Rattus norvegicus: one gene and its partner. The main gene of each other region encodes a partner of the protein of the gene in region 2 in a complex. Links are inferred from orthologs where the notes say so. Each region holds a gene or a part of one and is shown on either strand. Other genes may lie near its edges.

Region 1 (3,817 bases), on a different chromosome or scaffold from region 2:
TATGCTTGGATCTCCAATCCTTTATAGATATAAGTTCTACCCAAAACGTAGCTTAAAGGCACAAATTGTAGTAACAGATACCAAGTGCTTATAAGCACAAGAATGTTCACATTCAGATGTTACTGCTCTGCTTTCTAAAGCAGCAACCTTAAAAGTAAGTGTGAAATCCTTTGCTACTTCACTGAATAGGAGAGTGATCCTGGCTTAGATTGCTCCCTGGTAAAGTTATTCTTAATAATTTCGGTTCTAAGCACCTGTCAATCCCGTTTTCTCATCCCAGTGCCCAGCGCTTCCTTTTCCTTTGCACATCTGCAGTGACCTTTCTTATCTTTTACTCTTCATTCAGCTATTGCTTCCACAATGCATATTCCGAAATATGAAACGTGCTTTCCCTTACTCTGCCTCTGTTAACTACCATTAACTGCATTCCCACTGTTGAGTTTTTATCTTACTTTGGACTGAAATTACGAGTGTGGTCCTAGAAACGGGACTTTGCACAGGGATGCAGCTCAGGAAGCTTGTGTCCGAGGCTGGCTCCACACCGCTTGCATTTTCCTTCACTCTGCTCTGGTTCTCACCTTCCCCTCAGCCCCTTAGTTAGGGCAGGTTTGGCTCTGCTCCAGGCTGTCCACCAGGAAGCCCCCAGAACCTCCAATAAAATACGCCATGGGTTGTCAGTAGTAAAGTTGGCTGTAAACTGCTTACCGTTCTCAGAATACCCTGTGTTTTGCAGTGACTTATTTCTTCTGAAGAGAGACTTGGGTTTGTTTAGTTGACTTAGATTGTGAGTTTTAGCAGCTTTGTAAGACACTCTACGTGAGCCAAATCATAGACGTCTGCCTAGCCTATGGTGTTTAATACACTTTAAAGGGAATCATGACATAAAACTAATGCACTGCCTGCAGAGGGGGATTACAATCAAATTTTAGTCTTTTTTCCTTAACCAGTTCTTAGCAGTGGTCCCATCTCAGTAGATGGCTGCACAGCCCACTGTCCAGAGGCCTAGAATTTCTCTCTTTCTCTGTTCTTCCAAAACCCAATCTAACAAGTAGCTTCCGGTGGGTGTTGACAATCGTCTCCATCCATCTCCAGTGTCACCGCCACGCCCAGCCTGCTCTGTGCTTGGACTTCCCAGTAGCAGCTGGGGAGAAATCAGGGCACCCTCAACAATGCCAGTCAGATTGTGTTATGTCCTGTAAAGGATTTCTATAAGAAGGGCACTATTCTCCTTGCTAGAACCTGCTTTGTGGGCTTTTATCTGCTGCCCTGTACATCTTGACCTGAGATCTAACCCACCTTTATTTCTGAACATGGCCGAGACTTTATTTCTCCTAGGTAAGCGCTCTACCACTGAGCTAAATCCCCAGCCCCTGCTCCAGCACCTTCTTACAGTTTCTTCTAACTGATCTCAGTATGATTCTTCAAGTTTCATCATGACTGCTAGATCTCCAGAACCTTCCTGTATAATGTAGTGTAGGCTACCCATTCTCTATCACAGCACTTCTTCCTTCGTTTGTTTGTCAGTCGTCCTTATCCCAGTCTTAACAAAGTCCCCTGAGATGAGCATCCACACCTGTCCTATAGACGCTGAACCTCCGTGGGGCTGGAGCTCTGCCCAGGAGAGTCACTGGATGTGAAGTCAACACTTGGTGCTGAAGCATGTTAGCATAGCACCGCACGTTATAGAATCTCTCCCCTCCAACTTCAGCTATATTGACAGGACTGACGGCCAAAAGCTGGATCATAGGTCAGCACAACAGATGAAATGTCATAAAAGAGGATGAAAATGTGGAAAAGTGTGGGAAAGAAAAACCGTGCATCTCAGGTGTTCTTATTTAATAATAAAGAAAGGACAAGGACCGTCTGCAGAAATTGTCCTGTCTCCCATCAGTGAGGAACTCCCAACCAAGCTGCCTCACTCCCGGGGATAATGCATTCCTCACATCCACCTCAGTCTTAACCTCTGTTAACTTCCATCCTAACCACTGTCTGCTGTGACCCGCAGTTCCAAAGCCTCGCCATGTTTAAATTGCATCTCTCTCCTTACTTGACGCAGACTATTATGCACTTTTTGGAACAATATGTCGCGGGTGTGAATTCCCCATAGAGGCTGGTGACATGTTCCTGGAAGCTCTGGGCTCCACCTGGCATGACACTTGCTTTGTGTGCTCCGTAAGTAAACTGTACTGCCCTGGTCAAAGCTTAGTGCTTGATACCCCAGGGTGGGGGAGTATGGGGATGGGGGTGGGGCTCACAGAGGCAAAGGTGAGGGATGAGGGAGAACTCCGTTAACCTGGAGAGGGAGGGCAACACTTGGGATGTAGATAAATAAGATAATTAATTTTAAAAAAGCTTAGTGCTTAATGGGAGTAACAGCACTTTGGGTTTTTCCATTCCTCAAAGCTAAGGAACAGTGGTTTTTGATGTTCTTAAAAGTTGGATTTGAAATTATTTGGCATATAATAGGATTTTACCCTCTAATGCATTCTTGACTCTAAGGAGAAGATACTTTTTCTTTTTTTAATATGAGTCATTTTCTTAAATTCTTTTATTAAACAGCTCAAGGGGTTTTTTTTTTTTTGATACATTAGATATTTCTTAAATGGAAAAGAAATTATAAAAAACTAGAGAACCAGCAAGATGGTTCAATTTTCCTCCTGACTGATAGAGGTAGCTCATGGATTCTTTTCCTTTTCTTTTTGAAACTATGAACATGGAAGATATTACCTACTTCACTTGTCTTTTTTTAGTGCTTTGGGATTTGGATTGATTTATTTTTATGTGTTTGTATGTATGTGTGTTTGTGTACATGTGTGTGTTCATATGTTTACATGTTTGTGGAGACTGAAGGACAACCTCAAGTGTCACTCTGACAACACTGGCCACCTTCTTTGAAGCCAAGTTTCTCATGGGCTAGAGCTTCTGGCGAGAGATTCCCCAGTTCCCTCTCCTTCCCTCTTGGGATTACAAGCAAGCCCGCCATTTGTAATGGTTTCTCGGGGTCAAACTCAAGGGCTTTACTGACTGAGCTAGCCCCACAGCTTTTTGTAGGGACAGGGTCTCTGTGTTCCCTGACTGATATAGAACTTGATAGATAGATGACGTTAGTCTTGAACTCAGACAGATCTGCCTGCCTCTGCCTCCAGAGATCTGGAATGGAAGGTCTGCATCCCTATACCTAGTGTTCTGACGTTCTTAATGATTAGGATAGATCAGATTAACGTTGGCATGAGGTACTTTCTGTCATTTAGAAGCTAATATTCAGTAGAGCTGTTCCATGACAGTATTTGATTTCTGTTAGCGCTGTTAGATTTAATCATATCTAACACTGTTTTGATACCTGGTGCATAAAAGAATTAGGTAAAGGTGAAATCAAATGATTTCTTCAACCATTACCTTTGAGCTCATCCATATTTTTATTTCATCGTCTTTTAGACTTCATAAAGTTTATAAAGAGCAGCTTCTACATAGTTTCCTTCTCAGGAAGATCTTATGAGCATTGTCAGCTTGCAAGGCAGCAGAAAGAACATGGAGGTGAAAGTGTGGGTAGCAGGATCTTAAAGCCACTCACCAGGCAGATGCTGCCTGCCTAAGACTTTCACGGTAGACTCAAGTTAAATCAGTTCCTTCTTGAATGGATAGTTTGTCCAGGAAGTAAATAAAAACCAGCCTGCTGGGGCTGGAGAGGTGGCTCAGTGACCTCTGAGTCAGGCTCAGAACACTGACTGCTCTTGCAGAGGATCCAAGATTGACTTCCGGTATCCATGTGAGGCAGCTGACAACCAGGGTTCTCTGGGTGCCCAAGATACCTGACGCA
Region 2 (3,817 bases):
TAATTATTTCTAGGGCCAACTAAGTTTCTAAATATCACTCCCATTAAAAACAATCTGATCTTTAGAGAAATGGAGGACTCTAAGTTAAGAGCAGAATGATCGGGGCTGGGGATTTAGCTCAGTGGTAGAGCGCTTACCTAGGAAGCGCAAGGCCCTGGGTTCGGTCCCCAGCTCCGAAAAAAAGAACCAAAAAAAAAAAAAAAAAAAAAAAAAAAAAAAAAAGAGCAGAATGATCATGGACAGTCATTGCTCTCAATGGCAGAGAAATCATTAATCGTGAGTTACATCCCAGAGAACCAGAAGCCAATTTGACTAAAATTAGGGAGAATCTGAGTATGTTTAAAAATGGTGACATGTATAAATCCATAAACTTACATAATACAATGCAAAACACTCTTACCTCTGAATGAACACTGGTGAACAAGGAAAAGACCTAACATCTTTCTCACCCTTTTCTGTACAAGCAGGACCTCAGGGTAACTACACTAAGACGACAGAAACAACTCTGCATAGGCTGGTAGGACGGCTCAGTGGGCAAAGGCACCTGCCACCAAGAAGGCTGACAAGGTGAGTTTAGTACCCAGGCCCACTTGAGAGAGTATGATTTTGCTACCCAAGTAGGTTTAAGGACTTGGGGAAATAGCAATAATTGGTAAACTAAAGAGGAAAACTAAAAACCAACAAACAAACAAGCAAAAACCAAATTAAACAGACGATAGCTAAGCACACTGATGGTGAAAGACAGCACTGGCCACCCATCAGAATGAACAGGAAGAGCAGGGAACTCCAGACTGAACTGACGCTGAGCATGTCTCCGGAAAGCCCAGTTTAAGTCTGCTGACAGAGCTCAGCAACGCAGGGCATTTGTGGCCAAGTCTGACAACCTGCGTTCTAGCCCCAGAGCCCACACGGTAGACAAAGAGAACTGACTCCTGAAAGTTGTCCTTTGACCTTTAGATGCACACCATAGTGCATGGGCTCTCTCTCTCTCTCGCGAGCGCGCGCGCACACACACACACACACACACACACACACACACAGTGGAATATACCAAATGACAAAGAGTAACCAAGTCAAGTTCATAATAAGAAGAGTTTCCAAGAACAAGGAATTCACTTTCTTTAAATAAATAAAAATGGCAAAGGAGATAAAAGGAGGTAAAGACTATCGATCTCTCTCCCTGTGGCTAGAGAGTTGGCTCTGTGGATAGGGGTGCTTGCTGGAGTTCAGATCCCAGCACACATGTAACAATCCGGGTGTCCTGCAAATGTCTGTAATTCTAAATTCCATTTAGAGTCGATCCATTGCTCCTCTTGCCTTTTGAGTGTTCACAGGTGTATTTGCCCAAATATATATGTATGTACACACACACACACACACACTACTTTTAAAAAAGAAATCAATCATTATAAAATATATATGTTCAAAGTTAAATAAATATGTAAAAAATGGAAATTAATATATCCCAACTAAATAGAGTACATGAACCTTGTTTGACTCCTGATCCAACCAAGCAAACTTAAACTCTGCAACAACCGAAACAACTTGAAACTACTGGATTCTGTGTGTTACCAGGACATCATTGTTATTTCTCCCTGTGTCTATCTCTTTAGAAAGTAGTTCCATCAGTACCAGTGCTGAGTTGGGGTAAATTCCCAAGGCTTGAAGACAACACTGAAAGCTCTGAGAGTTATTAACTACACCTAGATGCTTCAGTTTCTACATCTGTGAGAAGTGACGATGCATTGATCAGTGGCTCTTGGCCATCCCAGCACATCCCAAGGAAGACACCTGCACCTAGCAGGCCTTTCAATACTAATACTCCACTGTACAAAGCAATGGTCATCTAGAGCTCCTCACCTGCTGAGTCTGAGCCTGCTGCTGCTGGGGCTGCTGCTGCTGGTAAAAGGTGCCTGATGGCTGTGGTGGTGCTGTTGGCTGCTGTGGCTGTTGCTGCTGCTGCTGCTGTTGCTGCTGCTGCTGCTGCTTGAGGAGGAGCTGCTGCTGGTGCTGAGGAGTAGCCTGGGCCTGGGTGGGCAGACCCTGGGTCTGGGGAGCAGGCGTCTGCTGTGGGGTGGGTGGAGCTTGTGGCTGCTTGGGTTGAGATGACTGAAGAGGTTGACTGGGCGTGGCTTGGGCTTTAGGCTGGGAAACACTGGCTAGAAGGCTAGGCTGATTGCTGGGTCCTGTAATGAAAAACTCCATGTCAGGGCACAAAACTCTACCAGACAAAAATGGCTTTCTGAAGCCTGGCAGTGGTGGTGCACACCTTTAATCCCAGCACTTGGGAGAGGAAGGTGGAGTTTGAGGACAGACAGGCTACATAGACAACCCTTATGAAAAAAGACTTTGTGATTTGCTACACAAGAAATGGCAGAAGTAGGCAGACTGCCCCAAGCTTTGCCTGTTCCTCACCATTTTGCCATCTGTGATGCTCTACTTGGAACAGCTTTCCACTCTTGCCAAAAGCCAGGTGAACTGCAGACTTCAGTACCTGCCTCTTGCACAGGGTTTCCCTCATCCCCCATCTCACCCAGTCACCCAGCCCTGCAGTCAGCACCTCTAGTTCCCCTCACACAGCCAACATTTGACACTAAACAGTCTGTGTACCAGCCTGTCTACCGCGGCAAAAGCATTCTTTGATATTTTATGAGTAGCTTATACAACTAGCATCTGAATGCCTGGCTCTATATAGATGGCCACTGAATTTATCAGAAATTGTTCCTGGTAAGACATGTGATAGATGTGGTCTGTGACTTGTTATTTTGGATCAATCCCCTTTATAAAACAAAGCTCGCTCCTCTTGTTATAACAGAATGCTAGAACACAAAGGATGATGTGTACTAATAAACACAGCATTAATAAAATAATATTCTTCTGTGGTTACAAAAAATAAGTAAGTCTGGTTTCTTTAAAAGCAAGGAGAAATACGTAAGGTAAATAAGGTGGAGTGGATGGACCAGATGTCCAGTAAGAAAATAAATGCACACAACAGGCTTCAGGGGTCTTGAGACTCATCTGAGTACAGAAAGAAGTTCCTCCTTGTGCAGCCACTGGCCATAGACATTCACAAGCAGCTCAGGGCATGATTCTTTAGGCTGTGCCTTCCGACACTACCACCATCAAGCACTGGAACAAGCTGCAAACTAGTTACTGACCTGTAGCCTGAGGTAGGGGCTGAACAGTGGCCCTCTTACGAGGAGTCAGGGCTGGCTGAATGGGAAGGATTCCGGGGTTTGGCTGAGTCTGCCCAGCTTTAGGCCTCTGGCGGGGTGCAATTGAAGTCTCTGTGGTGGGAATGGGATCTGTCAGTCTAGAAAAGGAAAAACAAAACTGCTGTTAAAATGTGGGAAAACAGAGGGGATATGCAGAACACAAGATGTTTTACCCTTAACACTCCTTCAAAACATTCAGACTGGCTTAATCAACACTTCTTCAAATGCCAATTCACCTACAAAGGCAAACACATCAAAATAACTTATCTGTCATCAGCAACCTTAAAGCCAAGAGAGCACAGAATGATACATTTCAAACCCTGAGAATACATAACCCCCAACCAAAATCACCATATTCAGCAAAGCACTCTTGAAAAGCGATGGAGATTCAAGGTCATTTATGAGGGAGACGTGCAAGTGTCATGATGCACATGTGGAGGTCAGAGGACAACTTTAGGTGTTGATTCTCATCTTAGTCAACACTGCATGCACCAGGCTAGCCGGTCTGTCAACTCCCTGCAATTCTCCTACGTGTGCCTCTTATCTCCTGGTTGGGGAATGCTAGGATTACAAACACATGCCCTACTGCATGCAGCTTTACC

What was found.
Region 1: the proteins of Aak1 (region 2) and Pdlim5 are in contact, whole or in part, in a crystal structure (PDB 9F6S), measured with the Homo sapiens proteins. The link is inferred for Rattus norvegicus from reciprocal best matches to the Homo sapiens genes AAK1 and PDLIM5. Residues at the interface, in NP_055726.4 of Homo sapiens: Asp956, Leu958, Ile959, Asp960, Leu961; in NP_006448.5 of Homo sapiens: Ala12, Pro13, Trp14, Gly15, Phe16, Arg17, Leu18, Phe24, Gln67, Ile70, Lys71.

Annotation. Positions count from the first base shown.
Region 1 is NC_086020.1:233,629,164-233,632,980, reverse strand, and holds part of Pdlim5 (PDZ and LIM domain protein 5), read left to right. Parts: intron 1-2,056; coding exon 2,057-2,172; intron 2,173-3,817. UniProt on the Homo sapiens protein: May play an important role in the heart development by scaffolding PKC to the Z-disk region. May play a role in the regulation of cardiomyocyte expansion. Isoforms lacking the LIM domains may negatively modulate the scaffolding activity of isoform 1.
Region 2 is NC_086022.1:120,959,351-120,963,167, reverse strand, and holds part of Aak1 (AP2-associated protein kinase 1), read right to left. Parts: intron 3,314-3,817; coding exon 3,159-3,313; intron 2,187-3,158; coding exon 1,861-2,186; intron 568-1,860; exon of another isoform or gene 1-567.